Lytechinus pictus: one gene and its partners. The protein of the gene in region 1 purifies or fractionates together with the protein of each later gene. This does not show direct contact. Links are inferred from orthologs where the notes say so. Each region holds a gene or a part of one and is shown on either strand. Other genes may lie near its edges.

What was found.
Region 2: the proteins of histone-lysine N-methyltransferase 2C-like (region 1) and PAX-interacting protein 1-like purify together in Homo sapiens (affinity purification with mass spectrometry; 4 studies listed by BioGRID and IntAct, with this or other methods). This does not show direct contact. The link is inferred for Lytechinus pictus from reciprocal best matches to the Homo sapiens genes KMT2C and PAXIP1.
Region 3: the proteins of histone-lysine N-methyltransferase 2C-like (region 1) and lysine-specific demethylase 6A-like purify together in Homo sapiens (affinity purification with mass spectrometry; 3 studies listed by BioGRID and IntAct, with this or other methods). This does not show direct contact. The link is inferred for Lytechinus pictus from reciprocal best matches to the Homo sapiens genes KMT2C and KDM6A.

Annotation. Positions count from the first base shown.
Region 1 is NC_087247.1:18,253,157-18,263,619, reverse strand, and holds the start of histone-lysine N-methyltransferase 2C-like, read left to right. Parts: upstream 1-6,062; 5' UTR 6,063-6,197; intron 6,198-10,463. UniProt on the Homo sapiens protein: Histone methyltransferase that catalyzes methyl group transfer from S-adenosyl-L-methionine to the epsilon-amino group of 'Lys-4' of histone H3 (H3K4).
Region 2 is NC_087250.1:1,165,142-1,175,352, forward strand, and holds the start of PAX-interacting protein 1-like, read left to right. Parts: upstream 1-5,752; 5' UTR 5,753-5,851; coding exon 5,852-5,947; intron 5,948-10,211.
Region 3 is NC_087260.1:15,815,466-15,826,133, reverse strand, and holds the start of lysine-specific demethylase 6A-like, read left to right. Parts: upstream 1-6,158; 5' UTR 6,159-6,400; intron 6,401-10,668. UniProt on the Homo sapiens protein: Histone demethylase that specifically demethylates 'Lys-27' of histone H3, thereby playing a central role in histone code. Demethylates trimethylated and dimethylated but not monomethylated H3 'Lys-27'.

The DNA of each region.
Region 1 (10,463 bases):
ACAAAACATAGGGGGCCAATATGTGTTGTTCTGGGATGATTTCCATCTGGATATTGCCCAGAACAACACACATTGGTCTCATGTGGGGGCATATGTGTTGTTCTGGGATGATTTCCATCTGGATATTGCCCAGAACAACACACACTGGTCTCATGTGGGGGCATATGTGTTGTTCTTGTATGATCTCTATTCAGATTGCCCAGAACGAAACATATGGGGCCCAAATATGTTGTTCTGGGATAATCAATTCAGATTGCCCTGAACAACACATATGGGGTCAACATGTATTGTTCTAGGAAGATTTACATCTGGAGATTTACATCTGGAGATTTACATCTGGAGATTGCCCAGAACAACACATATATCATGTATAGGGCCCAAGTGGGGCCCACATGTGTTTTTTTTTCTGGGATGATTTCTCAGTATATATTGAGATTGCTCAGAAAAACACATATTGGAACCATGTGGGCCCAACATGTGTTATTCTGGGAGGAATTCCATCTGGAGCTTGCCCAGAACAGCACAGATGGGGCCCATGTGAAGCCCAGAGGTGTTTCTCTGGATGTTTTCTGCTCATCAGAATTGCCTGAATAATATATTTGGGACCCATACCTGGGCCCATACCGGGGCCCATATGGGTGGGTCTGGGATAATATCTGTTTGAATCTGGGTCCCATGTGGTATTCATGTGGGGCATACGGGCCCCAGTCAGCCCGGTAAAACCCATATGGGCCTTATTATTATTATTATTATTATTATCATTATTATTATTATTATTATCATCATCATTATTATTATTATTACGTGTCAAACAGTACGTTCCTTCTTCGGATCAGTATAAAATTATGTTCGGCTTACTGTTAATAAGGCATCCTTAAAGTTGTATGCTGAACAGATAGTGACCGGTGACACTTCTTTTTATCACTTTAAGAGAACATAAACTATGCAGAGGCGGGTGTAGTTTTTGCCAATGGGAGTGGGCAGGCAGGGAAAAAAACATTTTATTCACGTTTTCCCTGATCGGCCACTTAAAGTTGATATTTGTTGTTATTTTTCAGGGTGGTCCTAATAATTCCTAAACTAAAGACTTAAGTTTTAAGTACATCTTAGTTTTTTTTCTTACAAATATAATCATGAGGCCTACATCAAAAATGAGAGTACAAAGCGTGAGATCAAATTTTTTTGACATTTCATGTATTAGGCCTATAATATGATTATTTAAACAGGAAAAATGAAAATTCAGAGCAGTTTTTATGATCACTAAAAGGGACTTTGTACTGACATGAAAAGGCGTCTGTTAATATCTTCTTTTAGTGACTAATGATATTGCCCAGTACAACAAACATTGGTCCCATGCTCTGGGATAATCTCTATCCAGATTGCCCAGAACAACACATACGGGTCCCAAGTGGGGCCCACATGTGATGTTCTGGGAAATTTCTATTTAGATATTGTCCAGAATATTATGGGACCCACAGGCTGAGGTGATTTCTATTCAGATTGCCAAGAACAAAACATAGGGGGCCAATATGTGTTGTTCTGGGATGATTTCCATCTGGATATTGCCCAGAACAACACACATTGGTCTCATGTGGGGGCATATGTGTTGTTCTGGGATGATTTCCATCTGGATATTGCCCAGAACAACACACACTGGTCTCATGTGGGGGCATATGTGTTGTTCTTGTATGATCTCTATTCAGATTGCCCAGAACGAAACATATGGGGCCCAAATATGTTGTTCTGGGATAATCAATTCAGATTGCCCTGAACAACACATATGGGGTCAACATGTATTGTTCTAGGAAGATTTACATCTGGAGATTTACATCTGGAGATTTACATCTGGAGATTGCCCAGAACAACACATATATCATGTATAGGGCCCAAGTGGGGCCCACATGTGTTTTTTTTTCTGGGATGATTTCTCAGTATATATTGAGATTGCTCAGAAAAACACATATTGGAACCATGTGGGCCCAACATGTGTTATTCTGGGAGGAATTCCATCTGGAGCTTGCCCAGAACAGCACAGATGGGGCCCATGTGAAGCCCAGAGGTGTTTCTCTGGATGTTTTCTGCTCATCAGAATTGCCTGAATAATATATTTGGGACCCATACCTGGGCCCATACCGGGGCCCATATGGGTGGGTCTGGGATAATATCTGTTTGAATCTGGGTCCCATGTGGTATTCATGTGGGGCATACGGGCCCCAGTCAGCCCGGTAAAACCCATATGGGCCTTATTATTATTATTATTATTATTATTATTATCATTATTATTATTATTATTATCATCATCATTATTATTATTATTACGTGTCAAACAGTACGTTCCTTCTTCGGATCAGTATAAAATTATGTTCGGCTCGCGGTTCGTGTACGTGTTGGATTAAAATGGCTACTCGGTATATATCTATCTATCTATACATATATATATATATAAAAAGTAAAATCAGAGAAACAAAACACCGGGGAAATAGCATAACAAAGTTATAACATTAATTTGGTGCCAGTTCTGTGCATGTCTTCATGAATATGCAATTTTAAAGCTGATATTGTTATGTTCCCATTCTGTATTTTATTATTATGTTTTTTTTTCTTCAAATTTTGTCCACCAAGAATTTTGAAAAATTACTGATTGAATGTGTAATTGCTTGAACTTATTACAAATAGTAATGAATTCAAACATTAGAAATATGAAGGTGTGGACGTAACACCATCAGTCCACCTACATTTATGTACATGACGGAATGTATTTAAGTGTTTTCATAAAATATTGCTCACTTTAAAATTCAATAATTTCGTTATTTGTTTTTACAATATATTGATTAAATTCAAAATTCAATAATTTTGTTATTTATTATCAAATTTTGATGATTTTTTAAAGCTTTTTACTGCATGGGTGAAATTTCAGTGGGTCACTGTCACATTACCCAAAAGGTAAAAACCCTTAGTGATAGAAGTTGTTTCGTAATAACATGGATTATGGCTCTTGGAAAAAAATAATGATAAGTCAATATATATATATTCATGTATGGCTTGCAAAAAACACTAAATTAATTTCCAGACAAATTTAATGTTGAATACGAAGAGAAAAGAAAAGCGAAATAATTAAGACGCAGAAAAGGAATATCACTTAAGATGATTAATACATATCCTATGCTATTACTATGGTAATACAGTTTCTAACACATTCAGAAAACAAATCTTGCATGTCTTTACCCAGGGATTAATATTCGTGCCAACTTATAATATCTATTCTCACGGGCCTAAATCCCGTGGGTGGGGGCATAAATCTTGATCAAAATTTGAGATCCTGTTTCAAAGACTCATTTCCCATTTCTGAATTTGCTAAAAAGATGTTTAAAATATTTTCCCTTTCTTATGTCTTCTTTCTATCCTTCATCTCCGTTTTTGTTTCTTCTTGTTTTTGCCAACCAAAAAATGCCAGATGATTGCCGGCTCTCCCGTCTACGGCAGATCATTAAAGGGGTACTTCGGGCTGAAAATAATTATATCTAAATATAAAGAGTATGACTTTACCGAGTAAAACGCAGAAAATTTCATCAAAATCTGATAACAAGGAACGAAGTTATTTGTCGTCATTCATACATTGGGTTGAAAAGTTTTCAAGTTTATCTAAATCAACCAAACAAAAAACATGTTAACACAGTGTGAAAAAAAATAATTAGACATGATAGGTTTGGGACCCCCATAGAAGCATAACTTGTGAAAGGGCCCCTTACAGCGCGTATCAATAAAAAGTTTACACTTTGGAATAGTCCTGGGTATTGAAAAATATGCAACATGGGGATAATTTTTTTAACGTATATTTTTGAGTTTGGGTCTAATCTATTAAAAAAAATGAAAGTAAACTTTTTGACTGAATATTACCCTTGACTGAGCGAGCAATGTCCATTTTTGTAAAGCTCGCAGAAATCGGTTTGCGCAAGGCATGCAGAAATGCTAATTTTCAAGCCGTGTCAAGGGAAAAAGAGCGAAAACAAACTGACTGTGCAGTACATTTTCTATGCATTTCTTTTGCATTTTAGCAAATTCAAATAAAACAGATACATTTAAACATTTTGTAACAACTTTGCCATGGAAATTAACACTGTAACCCGAGGTAAACACAACCTTTACCTTTTTGGGGGCCAGCTGGATCTGAGGACTTATCTGAGTGTAAACAAAAGTTTATTTCAGACTCGGCACCTCCAGCATTCTTTAACAAAGTTTTATCATTTAAAGTGCATGGGACCACATTTCATGTTTCCTGTACAACTTGTTTCTCCACACTTTTCTCCAGTTTGAAAATGATTAACAAAACGAAAAATCAAGCCTTAGCCATTTCATGTGAACCACTTTTAGGAAATAAATCATTCATACTGCACAAGAAATTCCTCTCAAACTAAGTTACACTTCCCAAAATGTCATATTGAATCATTCAAACACTCATTTCATCATCAAGCCGTCTTATTATGGAATATAGTCAACCTGAACCTCAAAAGATAAACTCCCTCTCAGTTTTTAAGAAATATTTAAAAGATAATATAAAAGTGCAATTTCAGCTTGATTCTCCAATATTAAATATCTCCGATGTCAATTTCAATTATTATAGTCTATGTATGTATACTCCCTCTTTTCTAATGATGTGCGTAGTTAATTATAGTTTTGTTTATATCTGACTTCAACTATTATGTTCTATCATGATATGTATGTATATTTTTCTCATGATAATTTTACTGTGTATAATAAGATATATTTTGATTGGTTTTTAATATGCAGGACCCAAAGGGAGAACAATTTTACGTTGATTGGGCATCCTGTTGAAATATTGTTAATAGATAATTAATTAAATAAATAAATAAATAAATAAACGTATATGGAATTCTACATTATTCAGGGCCAACATTTATCTATTTTTTCCTTATTTGTGGTTGATTTTTTTTTTTTGGGGAGGGGTGTCAGTCCCCAAAGCCCCCATTCTAGAACCGCACCTGCTTTATATACCCAGGAATCCAGGATTTTCCAAAAGGGGGGGGGCAAACTTTTCGGAGGAAAATTTTGACAAGCCCCCCCCCCAAAAAAAAAAAAAAAAAAAAAAAAAACAGGTTTTCAACGACAAATTACAAATTAAGGATATTTCGTACCCGAAAAAATTTGACAAGCAATAAAAAAAAAAGGATTTCAACCACAAATTAAGGGTAAAAAAAGGTATTCAATAGCATTTTTACATTACAACAATATTTGAGTAAGTTGACGGCCAGTCGGAGTTCTCAGGTCTGTATCGACCCCGTGACTATAATAAAAAAAAACCCATCTGTATTATATCAAGAAGCAATTGAACACAAATCATCAGGAGTAACTCTTTGGTCTCATACCATTTTGGCCTTACTGTTGTAAGCAACGACGAACCATCTCGCATATAATAGACTTTATTTTTTATCTCCATATTATATTACAAATGACTTTTCTAGCCTTGCTCAATAGTCGATACCGCCCTTGTTTTGAATGTGGGGGTGGGGCCCTGTGTACTGTATATAGACAGCATGCGTGGTCGCTTCTGCTGTGAACGTCCAGGCCTCAGTATAGAGCATTCAGTGTAGCACATACAGCGAATACTCGTAGTATATTTCACCAGAAAATACCCTTGTCAATGCACCGAAAACCAATCCTGTGAGTATATAAATAGACAAATTTTTCCTCAATAACGACAAAACCATGTTCAGAACAGTCGATGAAAAGATAAATGAAATGAAGATTCCCGAATATGATGCGGCGTTATACCAATTTGAGAAAATTTCTCCAAATGTAGTATTATGAACATATAGTAAAAAGGGTCGCTCCGTTCACAACATAAGATTCATCCGCGGAAGAGCAGAAATATAAAATAGAGCTAATAAATATAAAATATATGATATATACATCCTTTCCTGTATATCTTTTAAATAAATGACACATTAAAATCATATTTATGCCTATTTCTATTCAGTAGAAAAAATTTCCATAAAGATTGGGGATCTACATTTTATCATTTAAATCTCCCTGTTTTGGAGGTCACATAGAGTGAAAAGGCATTCAATATGGCGGCATCATCAGTAGACAAGTAATCGTGATGAAAATATTCAAACCCTTTGTTTCTATTAATGGGCATCAAACCCCGCCTGATATCCACCTGCAAAAGTGCCACCACTGTAAGTTCTTTGATTTTGTTTAAGAATTTGTTGAAAATATTTTTGATATATTGTTGGTTTTGCATGTTCATGCAGGTAAATTCCATCGTTTTAATTAACAAATTACACGTCCGCTTGGCCGGGCTTTGACTGAGTTTGAGCGTGCAGCTAGTTTTTCAGCTTGGCATTCATTCATTGTTTTAACCTCACTCACTAACCTGGAATTCTGGATTGGGTGGATATGATTTAGAATTTGGAAAGCAGGCATACTAAATTATTGTATTTTATATTATATGACTGGAGAATGCAATTACCAGATTGCATTTGGAAACATGGGAAATGGAATAATTAACAGACTTAACTACATTAACAATAACATTCTTGGCAGTGGCTTTGAATTTGAAATGCAAAACCAAAATAATGAAGTACAGTATTGAGCTGAGATTTTACAGATAATAATATGCATATTCGAGCTGAAATTGAAGTGAATGGAGGCAGAGTAGCTTAGCCTTAGTCGGTTAGACTTAGATAGAGCGCATGTTTTGGATAAGATCGTAGATCTCAACGTGAGTCGTGATGACAAGGGTTTGAGTCCCGCTCATGCCGAAACGCGTCTAACAAAAAAATCTGATGCTAGCCTATCATGCCTAAGTATAGCATTGTGTGTTACTAGCATGATTACCACTCATCCACTGTATCCAGTGCAGGTATGAATGCAGTTGGAAAACACTCAGTCCATCGGAAAGGATGCAAATGGTGGTCCTGGGTAGGCCTATAGCCGAGAGTCACAACCTATGCACGTTAAAACCAATATGGCAATACTAGACCTCTAGCCTAGGCTGTAGTACTAGTAGTAGTAGTAGTACACTATTCTTCAAAGCGTAGGGTGTGCACCCGGTGTATTGCACCTGCATGTCCCGGCAAAAAGTCAGGTCAAGTCAATCTTGACGTTTATACCGGTATGTCATAATAATCAATATAATGATTGTGGGCATTAACAGAAAGACAAGACAGACAAGACTAATATGAGAACATGTCCAGCTGATAGAACATGATGATCAACCCTTTTCACATGCTGATCTAGACTCTAATCTATCTACATGTAGCCTATATCTCATATTTTATTTCAACATGATTAGATTAATGAATTCACAGGACTCTGGAGTCCTTCAAAAAAAAAAAAACACTCAAAAGGGCAAATAGTAGTAAGGTAAGCAGGGTTTAATTACAATTTACTTTTCAATGAAATTACTTTTTTTTTCAATTACAGTCAGGCCTACCATTTTGTCAATTACAATTTCAATTACTTTCTATAAAGTCATAAATGATATACAGGATGTATATCATTGTATGTATTCTGTATGAACTAGCAGACGGTACTAGCACCACCTATTTAACAATTCTAAGTTACAGAGAAAGTTAAGAAACTGACAAGATGCAGGTAATACATGTATTATGTAAAGAGCACGGATTTTGCCTATTACATGTAGACCCTCTACACTCTGATGCTGAAGCACTTGATCCATGAAAAACGTCATGAAATTAGATCATAAATTAAGTAAGTTTATTGTAAAGTAAATTGAATGTGATTAAAAGTACCGTAATTGATGTCAATTACTTAAAAAAAAAATTACTTTACCTTTCAAAATTTCAATTACAAAATTACAATTACTCAAAAATTTAATTAATTACATAATTGATCAATTACCTTGTAATTGAGCCCCCTAATGGTAAGGTCCCCTAAGAAAGCACAGTGCCCCTTGTCATTTGTCTGCGCACTTGCCCATCTGCGCGATTCTAGTAAACTAAAGAAGATACGCGATGACCACAAACTGTACACATGCAATACATAGAAGGATGTTCATTAAAAAATTTGACTGTAAATGGTGGAAAATTAATGAATTTCGGGCATTTCATGTGGCGACCTCAAAATGCAGCTGCAGCCATTCCCATCAAAATCCCTGAATCATGTAAAGTGAATGGGTGCGCATACATGGGGCACCATTATTTTGTTCAATCTGAAAATGACTGGCAGAGTTTTTTTTCCTTAAAAAAATATTTTATTTCTTTCAAGTTTGTATGAGATTTTTTGCACACTTATTCATAAAAGTGTCCTACATTCCTTTAGGAATATTATCAACTTAAAATTTTAGTGAAATGATAAAAATTCATGTTATCTTAAGTTAAATAATTCAGGTATGCAGACATTGGGCCCCTCTTATTTATATTACATGTACCTGTTTTTTAAGAAAGTTGGCGCGGCTAGCAAGCCTGCATATATGATAATGCAAGGTCTATTAAAAGTACTCCAATTTCAGGTCAAATTTGCAGATACATGTACATGTATGCTGGAGAGTCAAGCGTCTAAACAATTCAGGGGTTCTCCATAGGCCATTTCTGAGCACTTAAAAATTTAACTTACAACTGTAAGATTAAACATGTTTTCCTTTTTAGTCACGAAAATTCAGTTGATAGTGTTCCTTATATTTTTATTAGTGAGTGTGCAAAAAAGAAAATTTGAGAGAAATATATTTATATGAATTTCTTGGAAAAAACCTTGGCCAATCATTTTAAGATTGAACAAAAAATGATGCGCACCCATTCACTGTACAGTGTACATGTACATACAATTCAGGGAGTTTAATGAGAAAGGCTGCATTTCACAGCCGTCACATGAGATTCCTGAAATTCAATAAATTTCCACTATTTTGAATCAGATTTTTTAATGAATATTTGTCTAGATGTATTGCAGTTGTAAATTTAGACCTGTCTCTCTGTCAGGGATTCATGTACATGTATGCTCCGCTGAGACTGAGGCGGGTCGCGATACGAATATCGTTGATTGGTAATCTTGTGAGTCTTCTTTCAAGGGGAATTTGGGCAGTTGCAGGCATCAAACTGTCATTATTTATTGTGATCTTGGTCATGGAAATTGACATGCAAATGCTTTGTTCTCTTGTTTACGACGACTGAGCTAGCTGAGCTATGATGAGCAGGTTAAGGCGAAAGTATAGGTATCAGTTCACGTTGTGTAGTGTTCTTGTTTACATGTACAATACATGCAGTTAAAACTAACAAAAGATTTAATCCCAAATTTCCCCTCCAGGTATGCACAAAATTGCACCATTTAAAGTCCCAAAATGCAAAAAGTCCCTACCGTGGGAGGGGGGATACCCCCTCCCCCCTTCGTTCGCTTCTCTCCCTCGGGCTTGGTCGCAATGCTCCTCGCTTTAGTATGTCTATTTTTTTTTCAGGATTGAATATCACCCCTGTACATATCTATCGCACTTGTTTACAAGTTCTCTATCCACATGACATTAGAGAATTTGACTATTTTAAAGCATATTGCATGAAACAGACTTTGTATTTTGTAGTTTATTGCCTTTCCATTTCTGATATTGTCTTTCTGGAACTAATCTATAAAACAAACAAAGTTATATGCCATACCTGCATCTCTCTTGTTTTACATCTGATGTCAATGGATTTTCTAAAATAATTTTACTTCTCTTTATTTATTAATTTTTTTTTTCATGGGCACGACCTATAATGATTCAAGTAGCTCCATGCACTTACTGTATCTAGTGATACATGTTGGTACATATTCACCAATAAGGGTACACCTACATGTATGCCTACATGTAGTAGGCCTACTAGAGAGTACTTTCAAATGTTGGTTGTTTTATTAGTCTTTTGAACTATTTACTTTTTTTAATGATTTCTGTTGCATTTAATTGCATATTGATCATAAGATATCAGAAATTTGTATACTCTGTAAAAAAAAAAATGTAAAAGAAGAGGGTAAATTTGATTTTAAAAAATAAGAAATCGAGTAATACATGTAGTGTATGACACTGAGAATTTCATCAATATTATATACATGTAGGAAAGTAGTGCATTTGAACTCCCCTTGGAATCATTTTGTACATCCATGTGATTTCAGGTCTTCACTATATGTACAGAATGTAAATGTAATCAATAAAATATAATTAAATGCATATTCAGCTCTCATACTTTAATGTTCATTCCATGGCCTGTACATAATTAATGTTATTTCTCACAGTTATTTATTTTGGATTTCCCTTTGAATTTGGGGGATTTCCCTAAATTTGCATTGATTACGTGCACATACATGTACATGTAGGCTAACAGTTGATTTTTTTAATGATTTGTCATGATTGGGATCATCCTGAAGCAGAGTTGAAATTACATTTTATTTTTAGAGAGCCATTTTGAAATAAAAATGAGAACCATTTTTCATTTTACCGGAGCCATTTTCAGTTTTCGAGA
Region 2 (10,211 bases), on another chromosome or scaffold:
ATTTCGACTGACCACAGGCAGGGTTATTGGGTTAATTTCCCTACCCTAACCTCAATGTCATGGAAAAACTATTCTTATGATGATCGACCCCGACTCGGACCTCCTACGATTTAGTATGGAGTGACTATCTTTGAGATTGTCAAATGATAATTACAAGGTACGAAAGAATCGATGTTTCCTATAATACAAGCAGGGGATCCAAGATTTTCCAAAGGGGGGGGGGCAAATTTTTCGGAGAAAAATTTTGAGAAGCAAAAAAAAAAGAAAGAAAAAAAAGGGGTCTTCAGCCACAAATAGAGGATATTTCGTTCCAGGAAAAGTTTGACAAGCCGAAAAAAACATTACATTACAAATTTTTAATTTTGCTTCTCAAGGAGGGGGGGGGGGGGGGGCAAGTGCCTCCTATGCCCCCCCCCCCTGGATCCGCGCCTGAATACAACTAAACATGATTACAATTATAAACGAAGTTCAGCTTCGTATTGGAGATTACATGCCACGTTAGGCCTACTTTTGGCAATAATAGCAATTCTATATATAGAGGTATCTATAACATCCAAAGTAATTTCCCCCTTAATTAACCCATCAAATCTTCCAGCAGAATTATTTTAAAATTAAATTATTCAAACGAAGCATGGGAAGTTAGGAAGCAGCCTTCTAAAAAATAAGTGGTATTCATGACTTAACGGCTGAATAAAATTAAGCAAAAAAAAAAAGAATATTTTTCAAAAAGAGCAGAAGGAATAATGCTTCCCATAACAGCTTAAAGACTGGATCATAAATCTTGTCATCATTATGCAAATTAATGTTAGTTGGGATTTTTTTTTACCAGACGGGGGAAGGTGTTGCATGGCACTCTGCTGCATATCCCACCACCAACATGACCAAGAGGAAGTATGTTTAAGGGTGCCATGCAGGGGCGGATCCGCGATTTTCCAGGGGGCACATTTTTCCGAGGAAAAATTGACAAGCAACAATAAATGATGCGAGCTGAATTTTTTTTTATATTCAGACCAGAAAAAGGGACATTTTAAGGACGGTTCTTAGGAGCAGACGAGCAGACGTATATCTCACCAATCCAAAAATGTGAACATCTGCACGGACTGAAAATGTTTTATATTGAGACCTTAAACGGGGGCAATCACTTCAAGTACTCATGTGTCACTACATAAAACAATATTAACTCGAAGCGTGAGGAAATATATGTATTTGGTGTATCAGCCTACTGACTTGAAAATTTGAATTTTTAGTACATCAGGATTATAAACAGACAAAATAGAGCACCAGAAATGATTTGTATCAATTTATGTATGAATTTGTAGCAATTCATATTTTGTACTTCTTGTTATGAACAAAATGCTGGCAATTGCCAGTGAAGTTCTAATAAATTCAATTCAATTCAATTCATATTTTTACTTACAAAAATGTTATGAAAACATATTTCTTATAACATAATAAATATAATATACAATAATTTCTTCTTCCCCAACTAAGTTTTTCTGTCTTTCTCCCCATTTTCTCCCGTTTTTTCTTCATTTTATTGGCCAGCCGATGGGGGGGGGGGGGGGGGGACGTGCCCCCGTAGCTACGCCACTGATTCAAAGAGTATTAAATACGAAATTTCTGTATAAGGGTCCTATCGACGACTGACGGCCATGGAAAGAACATATAGATAATACGTGTAAAACAATTTCACGAAATATTGGAATTACAAATAAATTTAAATTCTACTTCTCGACTCGTATATTTATATTAAATTTGTACTCTTCTCCGACCCCCCCCCCCCCCGCATTTGAACTTTGGTATTATGGCACGGTGTGTTTGTGCTGATTTTCATTATTTTGAATAGACTTTTACTTTCTCATTATCGGGCACACACGAATGTTTTTATCAAAACTTATTCTATTCTTACGATACACGATCTTTATCTTTATCATGATTATAATCTTGGATCATTCATGTACAACTTTAATAAAACGAACTACCAGATGTGTTTTTTTTCTATGTTTACAAGAAATGAAGAGTTAAGTTGCAAAAGGGGTTAGGTCCACTTTGGACCATTCCGAGAAAAAACATGTTTTTTTTATTCTCACTTACTGTAATACTCTTATGAGAAACTAAATTGTCATGATGTACTACCCTATCATGTGAACATAAAATTGGGTATAAAAGAAATCTACCTGTCTTCATTTTTTCTATGTATTCTTTTAAAAATTGTCATTGTGGACCTAACCCCTTTTGCAAGTGAATCCAATCTATTTTGATTAAAAAAGTGATTTTTCTTTGTCACTTTTATTCATGTTTTCATGTGAATTTCAAATTTTCTTTGTTTTCATCAGATCAACTAAAAATTTAGAGGTTTTGAGACAGAAAACAATAAAATTTATGAACAATGGACCTAACCCCTTTTGACAAATGAACTCTTCAGAAGAGTTTGTTTGCAAAAGGGGTTAGGTCCACTCCAAGAAAATCATTTTTTTTTAAATTCTCCTGCAATAAAATTCTTATGCGAAACTAAGTTTTCATGATTCCTTACCATGAGAACATAAAATTGGGTATAAAAGAAATCTACCTGTCTTCAATTTTTTTATATTCTCGTCCAAAAAAATTTGTGTGGACCTAACCCCTTCTACAACTAAACTGAAATGGACCTAACCCCTTTTGAAAAAAAGTGTTTTTTTCGTTGCCATTTTAGATCATTTTTAATGGGAATTCGAACATTTCTTTGGTATCATCTTATAGAGCTACTAAAAATCTATACATTGAGACAAATAAAAAAAAAAAATCAAATTTGATGAAAATGGACCTAACCCCTTTTGCAAGTGAGCTCTTCAAATATCAATATCCATCACAAGATCTGCTGGACTTTTCCATTTACCTAGAACAAGAACATTATTTACCAACAAACTTTTCATATCCTCTGGCATCAAACTTTATTGGAACTCACTGCAAGCTTTACGAAATAAGCCTATTTACAATTCAAAGTTTCAATAGAACATCAGCGGCGTAACAGGGGTCGGTGGCCAGAGCCAAAAATTTCCCGGTCATATCATGGTATGAACAGGCGTAATGGTGTAATGGGGCGACTATTAATTTTTGAGAAGGCCAGATATTGCGTATCGGGCCAAATTTATCTTTAAAAAAAAGTTGCGAGCGAGCGAAGCGAGCGAGCTAAAATTTTGACCTTTTTAATTCAAAAATCAAATTTTGTGATAGATTTTGACATGATATCCAGTGAATAATATATTTCACTTTTCTCTCTTTAGATTCCTTTTGTGTGGTCTGTACGCCACTGTGAACAGGATTCTTTGCGGCAGTAGCGTGAAGAGTAAAAAAAAAAAAAAAAAAAAAAAAATGAGGGCCGCGCAGTATAGCACATGTGCTAAAAAGCTGCTTTCTATAAGTCCCGAGCGAGCGAAGCGAGCGAGAAAAAAATCACCTTTTCATGAGAATCTAACTTTGAGCTATTTTTTGACATTATAATTATTCAGTAAATAAAATCATATCCTACACTTTTCCTTTGCTTTTCTTTCCTCCTTTTTTTTGTTCTTGTTTGTAGAACTTTTTGGAGCCATGGCCCAACCCTTCCATACGCAGTGCTGTGTGGGTGGGGTCCGGGGCGGAACCCCCCGGAACTTCTTGATATCAAAGCCATTTAAACCTCGCAGATTGCCGCTATTTCAATCAAATCGCGGGCATATACAGAATATAGCTTATACACAACACATTTATTCAACCCAGTTGCGTAATGAACCAAAATATATTTTGAGGGGGCAAAACATAGCAAAGTGGGAAAAATTTGTAAAAAGTCCCCAGCGTGCAAAGCGAGCTGGAAAAAAATTGCCTATTGAAATTAAATTCTAATTATGTGATAGATTTTTCCATTATATTCAGCAAATAACACAGTTCATTGTTTCCATTCATTTCATTTATACGTTGTCTCCTATAATTTCTTTTATTTCCTCTTGGGCGTGGAACCAAGACCCCCCTCCCCGCGCCTGTATGCGAATGATTGAACGTGATTGAACGGGGGGGGGGGGGGGCGTTGTAGAGCCATTCGAAGGTTATAAATGAGAAGCCCCTACTGCGTGGGGTCTGGGGCAAAGCCCCGGGGGAGTGTTTCATCAAAATTTTCATCCGACAAGTTGTCAGATCTGACATCTTTCTCTGATGTTGATTGGCTGAGAGGTACTGTTACTATGGTAACTGTCGGATAAAATTGGACTTGTCGGATAAAACGTCTGACAAGTCCTTTCATGAAACACCCCCCAGGTAGCTTATTTGCATAAAATTTAGCAAGCTTATAGCACAATGTTGTATGCAGTCCATTTTTCTTCCCGCTCTTTAATTTCAATCATCGGCAGCCCGGTCGTGTTATTATTTTTTTTCTTGTCCCTTTTCTTTGTTTTCCAATTTAGCTTTTGATTAATTACATTTTACCTTCGTTTCCCGCTATTTTTTTGCCATTTTGTCATCCTATTTCCCACCATGCTATTGCATTACATTATAGGCCTATTTTGGAATGATTTGTTCTTTCTCAAATGTTCTTCTTTCGTACATTTTCCCGCTTTCCTTCCTTTTCCATTTAAAAAAGAAGTTTTTCTTCGTTTTCTTTTCACTTTTCCCTTTCCCTTTCTTTTTCCTCCTTTCCTTTTCCCCTTTCCTTCCCCTTTCCCTTTCTTTTTTCCTCCTTTTTTCTTTTTCCCGTTTTTCTTTTATTTTCCCGGTGAAATCCGCCAGGGGGGGGGGGGGCAGCTTGCCCCCCTGCCCCCCCGCCTGTTACGCCACTGTAGAACATTTGAAAAAAAATCTCACTAATAATCATACAGTCTACTTAGGATTTTTTTTCTGCTCTTCCATATTCTCCCACTCCGTCTCAATTTATTCCTCTTCTTTTCCCGTTTGTGTCTCTTTTCATTCTATTTACCCGTGTATGCTTATTTTTTTTGTTCTTTTGTTCTTTCGTTTGTTTGTTTTCTTTTACTCATTTTTGGTCCTTTGTTTTATTGTTTTTGTTTTGTCTGTTCTTGTACTATTTTTATGTCTTGTTCTTGTATAGTTTTTGCCATGCCTTGTTTCTTGTACAGTTCTGTTACGTCTTTTTTGTTGTTGTAAAGTTCTGTTTCGTGTGTCCCCTTTTCACTTTTTTTTTGTCATATCTAAGATACTTGTAATATTATCCAGCCTTGTTTATCTTTTACTTGGGAGAACATGACAAAAAAAAAATCATATTTTAAAAGGATCTGGATCTATATTTGATTTCTACAAGAAAGATATGATGATTTGTTATTTGAACTAGTGTTAATAAGCTTATTTCTTAAAGGAAAACTCATACTAACAAACTTTGCTTTTCTAAAGGTTTTTATTTCATTTCATTATGTATTATGATTCGGTTTACTTTGTAATTCTGTTGAAATTTTAAAATGAAATAAATTTGTTATCAATTAAAACCTCAAATGACAAGCTCGGTCACTTTGCTCCCTCTCTTTTGAGTATTTTCCAATAAAGTTTACGCCCCCAGCGAAAAACTGAGTTTCTGGGCGTGGGCACTCACATATTTATGTCATAAATGGGTATTTTGGTGCAATTATTTCACTATATGGAGATTATATTTAATCTGCGAGAAGCAGAAGTTGTACAAAAGAGAAAAGAGAATAATTGACAAAAAAAGAACAAAAAGAAGAAGATTTCTCACCACAAACGTCGCACACAATAGTTTGCGATTTCGATTGATTATGTCCTACCTCGCCTTCCATAGATCATCGGCGCGCCATCTTCATTCCGCGCGAACAAAAACCTAATTTTGTGAGAGTAAGAATGGCGTTTTCTTCTCGAAAATTGAGCTAATTTAGTCATGGAAAATGCGATGGTGGATCCAGAAAATGCTCCTGTGCATTTGGAATTCTTCAAAGATGTCCATTACTACCTCATTGGAACAATTTCAGAAGAGGTAATTTTTACATTATTTCAATTTTCATTGCAGTCCCGTATGTGTCTATCCCCGTTACTACATGTAGGATGGGGGGTCGGGTGTCCGGACACTTTGCATTTTTGAAGCCTTCTTTTTTGTCTTTGGATTACACTAAAAATACGAAATCAATAGTTGTAATCATCTTCTATTTGGTTCTTTATAATATTTCCTGACATTTTGTACTAAAAATTGATAAAACTTCCCTTGTAAATTGTTCCAAATGACTTTCTAAAATTGATCGTCCGGACACACAACCTGTCCGGACACACAACAACTGGGTATATAGTCACTTATTGGGTGATTTCAAGTTCGGTGTTGGGTGTTGGTGTTGGTGTTGAGAGCGTAAAAAGGCCGCTGAACCGAGCTCCAACACCGAGCTGGGTTCAGAGGAATGATACCGATTGCGTTATCGATAGTACATGACGTCACGCCTATGCGCTGCCATGCTAAATCATCTCAACTTCACGCGAGAAGTCTCGATGACGAAAATGAAATCGGAGAGAAATGCATTAAATTCTCATCTTACACTTACAGAATACCATTACCAATGTTTTAATAAATTCAAGAATTCGAAAGAGTGAACATTATTCTTCATCAAAATATATACAACTCAAATGATTTGTACTCATCTGTAAAAACTAATTTTATGGGGATGTTTCATCGTGTTCGCTGCCTCTCCACGAGCTTGAGATTGCCAACACCAACACCAACACCGAACTTGAAATCACGATTTTCCCAATCCCTGGGGGTTGGTGTTGGTGAATGGGGAAATTGCACGTAGATCGTCAACACCAGCCGCAGTGCTGGGTTCAGCAGACGACATTCAAGTTCAACACGAACTGCCGGAAATACGTCATATTTTCCGAGGTCAATCCCAACACCAGCTTGATTTCAAGTACGGTGTTGTGGCTGGTTTTGGTGTTGTCACAACACCAACACCAGATTTCAACACCGTACTTGAAATCACCCATTGTATTACCAGACACTATCATTATTCCGGACGCGCATATTACTGCGTTTGAAAACAATTTCGTACCGTAAGACTTCCGCAGTTCAATTTCACAGAGCAATACATAGAACAAGATTGCAAAAACAAGGCGGAAAAATCCAACTTTAACCTTATTTATCACAAAAATGACAGAAAATGCTTAAAAATAAAATATCATAATCATATAACATAGTTTTGCATTAACAATTTAAATATTTTCTGACGGAAATATGGGCCTGATTTGCCGAATGTCAATCTCGTCCGGCTCCTTCGATCGAATGATGAGGTGTGGTGTATTGTGGGTAATTGTCGACGGCTAGTTCTCAAGGTACCCGTGCGCGAAGGTTTACCGTGAGTCTTCTTCTCCTGGAAACAGTACAGTCCACCGTCTGGTGTATTGTCGTACTGAGTCGAGCCGTCGACGATCGGCAGCGCATCGATAGAACTTGATGAGCGTCACGATACGAACGAGCATAATATTGGAAAGTGCTATGGAAATTGCAGCTAACAAGAAAAAAATAAAATCAGTTATCAAACACGAATTTATTACCAACATCTGCTCAGATTCGATATGAAAAAAGCAAACAAAAACTTAGAATTTATGCATGATGTGATATATGAAGAAAAAATCACACAAATTCTTTCTTACATCGATTATAATGAAGAATATCTTTACCCGTCCTAATAACTGTTTTTCAATTACTTTTTTTCTTTCCAGGGCTCTTTTTGGAGAAACTTTCCAGGGCTACTTTTTCATTTTCCAGGGCTCTTTTTCCACTTTCCAGGGCTACAATTTCTGGAGCTATTTCGCGGCTTTTTTGCGTTTGTGTGTGTGTGTGTGTGTGTAAGGGTGTGTGTGTGTGTGTGCCACATTGAAGGGATGCTGGTCAGCAGTGCAGGGCTGCTCTGCTGCAGGCTCTGCTTTAATAAGATGTAATGTACATGCGATCGCGACGAAGCTTCGAAGCAGCGCGGCGCGAGCTAGCGAGAAGTACGTACCGGTACCATCTCGAATTCATAGGCACATGTACCACATGCACTATTCACGCCCGTAAACAGAGATTCACAGGTAAGTTCTCTTAGCTGACACGATCCTATGATGGACTCGCGTGCGCTGAAATGAGCAATGTTATTGTGCCACTGTATCTTGTATTTGCTTGTGTGACTCTGCGGGCAGCTCCGCGGTGATTTACGTACATATATACGTGATGTTCGCAACTGCAGACGGGCAATGAGTTTGGGATTTTGTAGCACAATTGGTGTGCGCGTAGGAAACAGCTCAAGATTGTAATATAAGCGGTCACACGCAAATGCAAACAAGTACACATTTAAATGCAATATAATGTATAATGTATAATTTAAATGCAATCACGTACGTATGCATGAAATGCTACATAAATATACAGTGTTGACGGGAGCGATTATGAGTTTTGCAGTCGCCCTCGTGTGAATGTTTTTAGCCCTTTTCCGGGGCTCTTTTTGGACTTTCCGGGGCGAATTCGCCCGCCGCCCCCGTGTAATTTTTTGGTTGGTGGAGGGGTATGCGACAAGTGCGAGGCAAAGAAAACGGTTGGTAAATATAAAATGATTTTATCATATTCATAATTTTCATAATATTTGGAATAGCAAGTGCAAATTTTTCTTGATTGTATTAACTCTAGTTGTCATTTTTAAAGCACTGAAATAAAGGTGTCCAGTAATACAATACACTGCCATACATGTAAGTGATTATACATATACCCAGTTCAACTTAGTCTTGAGGACGCAATGATGATGACTTTTAAAATAATGAAATATACTTCTTCATCATTGACTTCTTGAACAGGCCTTCATAGACGTGTAAGAGAACGAAGTAAACAAAGATGGATTTCCCTAGGTTTATCCATCTTTTGAAACCCAAATCACGTGAAGTTTATGAATTTTATTGATTTTTACACCTTCCTATATACGCCCAATGCGTAAGAAGGTTTTAAAAATTATGATATGAAAATGAAGAAAATAAAGGTTTCTTACCTAACTGATGCCGTGTAGACCCCTCGATCAACATGTAAACAACGGAAATACAATAGCGTCGACCCTTGAACCGTTTATGTATGACAGACTTCCGGCTAGCAATGCCGTTCTGACGAATAATTTATAGAAAAAAATTATTATTTTACAAATATTAAAATTCATTACGTAATTATAAATAATTATTAACAAATGGGCTTTTGACCTCAGTGAGACAAAATTTTGGGTGGAAAAAATTATGCTTTTGTTGGTGTTGTTTCTTTTGTTCTTTTGTAAAGCCAGTCTCTAATATGGGAAATTATCTCCCACATTGGAGAGAGTCTCCCATATTGGCCGTGCGCCTCTACTGTTGAACTTTGATTGAAGTGTAAGTTTTATTCTTTGTTTGTCTTTCTGAAAAATGATGATATAAATTACTCTTGTTGATGATTAGGCTAATCCCAACACCAATCAGTTTGGACCATGCTTTGGAATCGACGATATATTCTCATTTACTGCAAGACTCTTTGAAAAATCGTCAGAATGTATCAGGAAATTTGTCATTATCCTCAGAAGATGCCATGAGCCTAATTACATCAGGAGGGCTAAAGATATTCGTTCGACCCAACCCATTCGAAATTTTTCAATTTGATATTGCTGATTGACAAAAATGTATGAATATGATTCAAAATCTAACACTGATTCTAGAAATGGTAACTACTGAACTTCCTTTGCCCAAATTGGGAAGATATATCAATGATTTGGCACTATTTTTTGACTGGCGGAAGAATTGGGGCTATTTTACTGTTTCAGTTGATGAATTTGATCCCATCATAGTTATCTTCATAAATGGCGATTTATTTTTAAAATGAGCTGGCTACGATACCCTTCTCTGGTCAGATATGGAATGTCAGATATATATCCTATCCAAAGGTAGTAAACATTCGACCCTCTAATTTCGCATTTATTTTTTATGAATTTTTGTTAAGTGCCATTTTAACACACAAGTCTATGGGGAATGTTTTACGCGCGTGAGACCTATAAGTAATACAGGCGAATTCCCTATAGTGGATGGAATACCTGCCAAAACTCCTCAGAAGCAAACAATTTCTAACTGATATCAATATGTTTAGTCATCAAGTGGTGCAAAAATGGATTTAATGGCTTAGCAATGCTATAGTTAGTAGGTATGTGTATGTAAGCCTAGAAATGCTTATACTGTAGACTGGTCAATGAGAGTCTAGGCCTCTTTATGTTCTGATTCAT
Region 3 (10,668 bases), on another chromosome or scaffold:
TTGCAATGCACTATTACTCTTGGTTGCAACTACTTGAGTTTGGCATTGAAGAGGATTATTTTGAGGTTTGACTTCATAGACTACTCCCAATAAATCTTTTAATAGTAGATGATTGATGGCTAGCCACCACATGAGTGTGTGTGGTTTTCGAAATGAATAATTTAAGTACTCCCCATTTGACCTTTGACATCAGTCATTGTGTATTGAATTTTTGCTGGAATACTATTCCATTCACAGTATTATGTGATGTAATAGTAAAGAACAACATAGCCAAGCATGTATGAGAAGCGTTATTGGAGAAATTTAAAGTGCAATGACCCTCATCTCAGCTGCCTAATTGAAGTTAAATTTAAAGCACTTTGCTTTGTGTTATATCTTCAAAATGATTTACTATGAACTACATGTACTGTATATCATTTGATCCAGTTATCACAAAGCGTAGTGATTGATCATGTATGTAATTGATTTTAACAGTTGATATAATGTAGGGTCAATGTAATCAATTGCCAAATTGTATCATATTCAATGTTTAAAAGGACTTTACATTTTACTGTACAGGTGTATGGCTATATGACATATTAAGATATTGTTACTTTTTGTTTTGTTATAACAACTTCATAATGAAAAAAAAAATCACTGATTTTTATTGGAAATTGCTCAAATTCTCTCTCATTTGTTTCCATCATTTATTGAAAGTATAGGCCTACATGTAGCAAATTTATCGGGATGGCCTTCCCTTTAAAATGTTACAAACATTTAATCTTCTTTTGATATAAACGCTTATTGATTTACATAACATTTACATAACATTAGCATTTACATAAGCTACGGAAGTTATATATATATATACTGAATGATTTACACAACATTGACACTTATCATATACATTGTAATTGCCACCCATAGTCACTTCTAACAGAATTAGAGTGCTATTTCAGGTACTAGAAATAGAATGAAGATTTGTGTTTGTGGCTCATGCAATTTTTCATTTGATAGGTTTTCTAAACTCTTGCTAGATTTATTCCATCAGGAGGCTATATATAGGCCTACTTTGTGTAGTACATGTATATTTCCATAATGATATAAAAAGAAACTGGAATAGGGAACCACTGACGAGCGTTGGCTGCATCACATTAAAAAGACGCTATATCACAGATGCATCTAGATTGTTATGCATTATTTTTCTCTGGCTGTCTCCTCCTTTCTCCACCTCTCTCACTCTCATATTTGCTTTTGGTTGTCTTGAAGTATTTCATATCTTTTTGACTCAACAATGATGGGCTGGCGCAATAAAAATGATGATGCTGGAGGCATAATAGTGTTTTACAGTATTCCTCATACATGTAGTTTCTTTCACAAACTAGGTCTAGGTGCGTAGAAAGTAGAATGTCGCCGTTGCAGTATTTTTGATTTGGGTCTGGGTTTTAAAGACTAACATGGATACTCGTTTGTTTGTTACTAGGGATGCAGGGGTCAAGCTTCTACTCGCTGACCCCCTGTTGAAATCCAAGGTCAGGTCAGTTGGTGGGCACCCCCCCTTCCAACATCCAACACAAACATGTAGGCCAACACTCTTTGCTTGCGTATTACTAATGCAGGGGTCGCTGAGCGATCTTGAAAGTTGGGGGTGGGGGGGGGGGGGGGGCGGGCCTGACCAAGAAGAAAAAGCAACAAGTAATTGTAATTTTCATGGTTATGAACATTGTAGAAAAAAAATGTGGGGGGAGGAGGGTCCACTCCTTCTGTAGCCCCTGTAATCAACTGGTAGAAACTTAAAGTAAATTTAACCACTGATAAATCACGTTTAGGGGTTTTGGGGTGCATTAAAAACACCCTAGTAAAATCACAAACTTGAATTGAAAATGAAAAGGCATAGGCCTACACAATATAGTCAATGCAGGCCAGTTTATATACAAGCCTAACCACAGTGCAGATCAACTTGAGTGTACACCAGGGGAAAAAATTACATGGGGGCTAGGGGCGATTTAGCCCCCTAAATACTCAGAACAGCCCTTGAAACTAAAATAAAGGAGCCCAGGAAATCCCCATTCATTGCAATGTTAAAGCTTATCCAACATTGCAGATTTAGGCAGTAAGGTGTGAAAAAGTAGCCCCCGAAAATGAAAATAAAAATTATGTTTCGCCTGATGTACACAGTTCTTATATGAACTGCGAAAAGCCTCATCACAGGATCATGATTGTGATTGCATTGAATAAAAGCATGATAAAATATTAGATTCGTATACAATACTGCTATTGGCTGCATGCTTGAATCTTTTTTTTTTAAACAAAATGTAGGTATTGGAGATGGTGAAAATGGGATTTACAGAGCAATGTATAAATCTTTCACAATTATATAAGTGTGGTAAAGAATGAACCCCTTTGCCAGAATCTCTCATATTGATTGCTTTTGTTATTGTTGAAAATTCTGATACTAATCACACACACCCAAAGAAAATGATAATCACAATTTTTTAACAAGCTCATAAAGTACCCCACTAATATTAACAAATAAAAAAAGAAATGCCATTAAATCATTATTTATTGAGGCAAAAATCTTTTTTTTTCTCTTTGATTTACCTCATATCTGAAAATAGTTTTACGCATTATGAATGAATGAGAAGAAAAATAAAAGATAGCATCAATAAATTATTCTTCCCACGTATTTAAACCATCAAAAATTCATCCAGTCTTTGCCGTCTTGATTTCATTGTTGATGCTTTAAAAGCCCACCTTTACATGTACTTTCTAATGCTTCTAGATTTTGTTCTTTGACGTTAATGATGCAGATATTAATTCTCATACATCAAGGTGCATTCTTCTTGCTTTTGAGCCTTGTTTCGCTGTCTGAATCACCTTTCACTAATGTCTCGTAGGCCGAGTTGAATCTTTTCGTAAAGTGGACCGTGCCTGTTCCATGTGAACTGGTGATTGTATGAAACAGTGCAGAATTTTATTGAAAAGGCATTAAAATAAAAGTAGTGTGCTACCATTTCAAAATGCTTCAGCTAGAATAGTTCATATCCATTTGACTCTATACTGAGATGGACTGTAGAAAAATAGAAAGATAACAAGGTATTCAAATCAATAGATGGATGGATGGATAGATAGATAGAAATAGATCATTAATTAGTAAGATTCTTAAATGAATGTACAGATAGACAACTAATGGATGGATGAATGAATGCATGCATAAATTAAAAGAAAGTAAGACAGAATCAATAAATAAATTGATGAATATATAAATGAATGAATCAATAATACATGATTAGATGAATGAACAGTGAATAGTGATATTTTCAATATACACACTTGACCTTTATAGCCAAATACTACACCACACTAAAAAAGACAACTTTCGATATTAATCTTTACCCTTCTTTACAACGGTCAAGTCCCTCTACAAAAAAAATTAGTTATATCAACAAAACAAATGTATTTTGGACTTTTGGTATTGTTTTTCCTGCATGCTGTGGATGGTCAACATGTTACAGTGCTGTTCAAATGCAGAATAGTGATACTAAAAGATGTATATATATTCTCTTAATTTTATATTTTGAATCTCATAGGTGAACACAGTCCTGATTAAAGGGACTGGTATGTTGATGGCCATTTGCTTTGTGTAGGAAAAGCAAATAGCTCACAGCTTGCTCTCCATTCAATCCAGGTTTCGTTAGGAATGTGTAGTTTCATTTTCAACAAGCCGAGACTACAAAGATGTCAGCTACTGTGTACATCTTGTGGTTTATTCCTTATTTGTCCACTACTTAGACCCCTGTTACATCTGAGAGATTCCCTACCTCGGGCCGGCCCGGGGCCTACCTCGGGTCGGAAAGAAATCAGATGTAAACATCCCAAACCTACCTCGGGCCACCTTTTAGCGAACCTACCCGAGACCACATCCAGAGGTAGTCTCGGGTAGGTATCGGGCCGGCCCCGGTCCACCGATTCGTAGATGTAAACGCACACAAGCTTTCGAACCTATCTCGGTCCGTTCGCCAGCTGTCAAATTACGTCATAGCGCGCGCTATCCTCTCCCCAGCCCCGTCGTTCTTCAAATGTTTTGCGGCATGCGACATGTGAATTGTGATTGATAAAGTCTTTGATTTGAGTGGAAAGAAGGAAGCATTTTAAACGTATCCTTTTCAAGTCGATCATATCTTCAACGACTGCTGGGATCATCAGCATTCTTCCTAAATCTCGGGTAAAGGTAAAGAGTCGTTTCGACTCTCTCTGGAAATGATCGGCACACGTCCCACCCTGTCATTTCTGTGTAGCAGCCGACGAGTGTAACGAAATGTAAACAACTTCAATTAGCGCGCGCAAATTATTCAGAGCCTATAGATCGAGAGCGCCCTTTGGTGTCAGCAATCGGATACTGCTCGAAACCGTACCGATAGGGGATGGAATGAACGCTGTGATGTAAACAGACCACATTTCGGACTCAGTCTGTTCGCGAAGCTAATCCACCAATAATCCAGTCAAGGTTGCAAGTGGACTCGGTCGGGTCTCGGGTAGGAAACTTTCAGATGTAACAGGGGTCATAGACTGCTAAGATGCAGAAGGACTTTGAGCGTCAGTCCCTCTTGCTCTGAGGATATTGACCACTGAGGAGAAGATGAAGTGGCTAGTCTATTTCATACATTCTTTCTGTTTTCCAGCTTGAAATGAAAGTCAGGAATTTGAGTATTCTACTGGCCATTTTCAGTGTGATGTCTTGTAATCTTATGTGGAATGAAGAATCAGTTTCTCTCGTACTTATTTGTACAATTGGAAATAAACATTTGTTTGTTGTAAACTTTTGGTCAACAGTCAACACACACACAAAAAAAATAATAAAAAGGTTAAATTTTTCCCATATGAATTCAATGAATGCTTTCCCTCTCCCAATCCAAAGATACAAAACCTTCAATTGAAGAAGTATTCCCTTGCAAAAAGTAAATTTGGACGTTAAAACAAAGTAACAAACTAAAACAAATAAGCGTCATGCTGAACATTTCATCGAAATTGGATTTTCAAAGTTTTGCTCATATTCATGAAAAATGCATGTAAAGAACTAGCAATCTAATGTACATTCTTTTGCATGTCAGTTGTGACCATATATTCAAATATGTGGGTCAAGTTGGTCACCGCCCTTCGATTTCTCAACCAATCATCTATGAGGCATTGGGTTGTAGTATTTTGTTTCCTGTTGTCTTTCATTGTGTCACTTATGACCTTTTGTTATTGATTTTGGAAAGGTGAACTAAATCTAATGTTGTACTATGTATTGATTCTCAGCTAAGTGGTCTATTGATTGTATCACATAGGACAAAACTAAATAAAATGTCGCTGGGTTCATTTTAAGTTCATAACTACGGAAAGGCCAATGCCCTGAATCACAAGTCCTATGTATAGCTTTTGTTATCTCCAATAAAGACGGGAAGGGGGTAAAGAAGGGGGCATGGGGTGCTTGAAAATTGAGATAGCATTAAAAAAATGACATTTAATTTCAATTTCTAGTATTTAGTCATATTTGGTATATAAACAATGTTTGAGTCAATTCAATAATTGTTATTGAACCTTTTTTTCTTCTTCAGAGAAGAGATGAATCTGGCGAAGTCGAATTCACAATTTAACCCTTGACTCATCTGACTAAGATGTATTTTAAGGATATGAAAGTGAATGATAAGATATTGCGTACGTGAAAAGCTATAGATAAGTCGTTTGTCATTATATTTGTATTTATTTTTGCCTGCTTGTTTCATATAAGCATTTGATCCCTCACATAAAACAGATTGAATGTGTTTTGTATGTAGGTTGAAATTTGAAAGCCAACCATGGAATCCAGCCTCCATAATGATGCAGTTGATACACCGTACATGTATTACTCCTATCCAAATCATAAACAACCCTGGTGGGTGTTTCATAAAGCTGTTCGTAAAGTTACGAACGACTTTACGCATGACTGGAACATGTTCTTAGGTCATAACTCAATTACATAGGGATATGACATCGCACAAGAAAGGAAAACCAGTCGTGCGTAAAGTCATTCGTATCTTACGAACAGCTTTATGAAACACCCACCAGGGTCTAAAAGAGTAGACTAGCGGGTCTGAATTCCATTCTATTGTTGCAGTGCCTTTTTTGTAGAGTGACCCATCTCAAACAACAGGCTTGGCAGACCACAAGGGGATCAATAGGGGGTACACATTCAAGTCAGAAAGGGGGGCTAATTACGCACCCATACCAGAAGAGTGCACATGCAAGGGGTGCGTTTTTACACCCCTCTACCACTTCCTGTTGACCCAGGTGTATTGGAAATATATATTGGACAGTAACTTGTTTCTGTGGAGTGATCTTGGAAAGATATCTGGACTTTATGCTACATTTGGGAGTCAGGAGTTACTAGAATAACTAGGTATGTACTGTATAGGGGGAGTTTGATCTGTTTGGGTCTCTTGCCATCTGCACGTGGTTATTGTGTACAATCTTCGTTTCAGTGTTCATGCCTTTCCGGCTTTACAGGAGGCATACACTGCTACTACATGTACATGTGGGGTAAATAGAGTTGTAGAACCTACTACTAGTCTCCAAACTTCTTTGTGCTCAAACTTTGAAACTTGGTCAAGTTCTATCTACCGATTCACCCACACTTTTGCGCTGGATTATATATTCATTTCACTGAAGGGGCGCATCAAGTTCTCCAGAAGTGTGTATTAAGAGTTAGGCCTATAGTTTTCAGTACTCCGGTACCTGACAATTTTTTATAGGCTGTATAATAGTGCTGTGAGCGCTTGGGCATGTATTTGATACATGTAAGACATAATATAATGTTCATGCCTTTTGTGCTAGTTCTGTCCATTTTTAACAAATTAGTTTGTTATAACATGCATGTAGGCTTTTTCATGTACAATATTGGTATCTCTTCTGTGTATTGTGATCAGGAATTTGCTAGCAACAATAACATACATGTATGTAGATATTGATCTTTCATTGAGCAAGTAAGCTCAAGTTCTGTCCATTTTTAACAAAATAGTTTGTTAATACAACATACATGTAGGCTTTTTCAAGTGCAATAGTGGTATCTCTTGTGTGAATATTGATCAGGAATTTGCTAGATATTGATATTTCTTTGAGCAAGTAAGCTGATGGGTCTGTGTACACCACACCATAAACTACAAAAATACATTCATGTAGGCGTAACTCATTTCCAAACTATTTGTTATTGACACTGACTGAATTAGTCATAGTTTATACAGTCTTATAGTGTCTATTATCAGTTAAAGTGTAACTGATAAAAAACAAATCTTTGTAGAGCTTGCAAGTTTGTTTTGGTAGAACACAAAGGCCCGTATTCTGAACTCGGGTTTAAATTAAACTCTGGTTTAAAGTTGTGGTTTAACTATGGAGAGCCAATTCGGGTACAATCCCTAACAGTACACATCCAATTTATTAACTCATTTGACACTCAAATTGTTCATAATTGTCTGGGAATGATAATTGAAGTAATTTACTTTGTTATGAAAGCAACTGGAAAAAAAAAGTAAACGTAAGAGAAACAGAATTTTGAATTTTTGGCAGAGAGTTAGACTTTGGTCTATTAATAAGTTAAACATGACTTCAGAATACGGGCCCAAAGGATTCTCAAGGAATCAGTTTGCTCTTTCTGAATATGGAAATAAGAATCATCATAATGTCATAATCCCACTCAGCCCTCCCTTGAAAACCAGTCATACATGTATGCACTATTATTTATAACTGAGCTACATGTAAATGTTGAAATTCACTTTGAATTCAAAATTCCATCTATTTTTTTTATGAGTACATGAAGACTTACTTTCTTCTAACTACAGTAGGCCTGTCTGATTGTACTTTTACATTTACACTCAGCTGCTTGGTCAATCTTTCAATTTCTTTTGTGCTGATGATGGCTGATTCTTCATGTGTGGGGATTAGTGGGAATTAAGTTAATTATTTGCTGCATGATTTATTAGATGACTGAATAGACCAATCCACATCTGGGGCCGTTTCATAAATGCAACTGTTGTAACTTTGCCATTATGGCAACTACCATGGCAACAGGGCTCAGCAGCCAATCAAAATCAAGGTTACCATGGTAGTTGCCATAATGACAAAGGTACAACAGTTGCAAGTCCTTTATGAAATGGTGCCCCTGTTCTGTACAGCTGTTTACAGATAGCTGTAAAACAGTGTCTGCGGAAGGGAGACTACTCCCAGAACCAGAGATTACTGGACTGTGTGTAATAGGAATGTCTAGCCAGCCTCACTGGCCTGCTCCAGGGTAGAAAAAAAAAATTGGGTTATTGCATCCACCTGTTTCTTACCCTATCTGACCTTGCACGAGGTCACAGTTAGGCCACTGGTCAATCAGAGAGAATGACCACTGACTGGGGACAAGGTCAGTCTGGTCAGTTGGTGTCTTTACCTTTCACTCTGTGTACAGAGTTGGATAGCTTCACATGTAAGATTAGATGATGCCCAACAAGTGGTCTAACCACAGAGCTCTCCATGGTTTGCAATCACTGTCAGTGCTTACTACCAATCGGAATCGTTGTTGCATACAAATTTTGTTCAAAGCACTGACCAGGAACCAATCAGAATCGTTCTTTTATATTAGCAATCCATCACAGATCTTTAATTTGAGGGCCTGAATGTCATGAAGGCCTACATGTAGTCATGATACCATAGCCTTTTTGTAGGAATTCTTGTTTCTTCATCGTTTTTGAAATGGTTTCAATTTAATTTTAGATTATTTAGTCATTTCTTGTGCTTTCAATCTTTTGGAGGGTTTCTTGAAGGATAAAGGATTAATTAATATGTCCATCAGTATGCAGATACTTTACTTCCGTAATCTTCTGTTATAAAACATGGCTTTTTAAGACTTTATTTGGTAACTTTTATATGTACATGTAGCTTGGTATGATGTCAAGTTTTATTTTAGATTATTAGATCATGTCAAATACCATCAACTTTTTGTAGAGATTTGATATACAAGCTTCGTAAGGTATTATTAAGAATAGAGAATTATTCATGAGCCATGTCCAATTTTTAAATATTCATTCTTTTCTTTTATGAATCAAGTTATCTTTTTTTGTACTAGATTCTTGGTGAGTAAGAAAGCCAAGGATAAGGAGAAAGTCATTGAATAAACATTGGTTCAGAGAAAAAAAAAAAAAAAACATTTTCATAAGTTTTTAGGAGGGATTCCCTTTTTCCGCGGAGAAATTGGCATTGTCTTGGGCAGGCTATCTTTGTTTAGTAAAGCCAGCTAGTCACGTACGCTCCGCTACTATGTACAGAGAGAATGACGTTCTCTCGCTCAGTGACAGCATAGCTAACGACGTCACAGATAATTTATGAGCCAAGCACTCACGTGGAGGAGTGTATAGTTCTGTCTTCTTGTTTCTCCAGCCATCATCCTCTCTTTCTTTCTCTCTCTTACTCTCTCTTCCTCTCATACTCTTGTCCTCTTGATCAACCTCACGAGCCTTCACCGCACGTGTGATATTCTCCATCAGAGTGTGTGCATTCCAAGCATGTGCCTGAATCTGTGTGTGCACTTGTGGATGGGTGTACTGTATACTCGTGTGTTGGCTTGGAACGCTGACAGCCAGCAACCGGTGTGGTATATTAGTCACTGCTTGGCTGTCTCTTGTCCATAAACCATTCTGAATCTTCAGCAGAACAGCTGAGCGTTGTCTGTTGCTACCTACCGGCATTCCAGTTCCAACGCAAAGTTTGTCGTTCGTTCCACGTGTACCGGTACTATCTCTCACGCCTCCCCTTTGTTTATATGGCTCATTGTGATGGTCGTGTGCGTCTTTTTATGTCTATCTCACTCAAGTGCATTTTGAAAGAATTCAAAGACTAAACCGTTTCTTCAAGTCGTACCGTCATGGGTCTCGAATCATTTTGAAATCCCCATTCTGTCATCTATCTAAGAATCTTTGAAAGACTTTGGAGCACCTTAAAGACTTGTTCCTCCAAAAGTTGAGGATTTTTTGTTTTGTTTTGTCGCTGGGATCTGAGTTGAGAAGCTGAGAATGAAGCGAAGAGCTTCTTCAGTCGAGGAGGAGGATGACAGCTATAGTTGGGTTCATGCTGACTTTCCTTTTGGAGAGGATGGTCTGTCAGGGGAGTCATCGTCGGAGCACCAGGACTCTTCGTCCGAGTGCTACGACTCCGAAGACGATGACAGGTGAGGTTGATAAGATAATGACAGCTAAAAAGAGAGTTAAGAGAATATTCTATGCAGGTATTTTGGGGGTAAATTTCAGCGAAGCTATTATGCTGTAGTCTAGCAAGATAATATTCTAATAACAAGTTTAATGTTGGATTGTTTTTTTAGAATGATATGACCATTTATGAAATAAAATACGGAGAGGGTATCTTTTCCAGATTCCCTAAATACGTTAGAAGCATATGTACCTGTACCACTCAACTAACCATCCATCTTTTTTACGGGTATTGTTTCATATCATCTCACTGAACATTAGATTTTCTTGATTATGATTCAAACTAAGCCTGCAATACCATTTTTCTAGCGATACATTTATGATACTGGGTACACTAGGATCATGCAATCTTGGTGTACTGATGTATTCTCTGTGATGCCGTTGCTATGGTTACTTATCGAATGTCATGATGCTGATTTTTTATTTATGG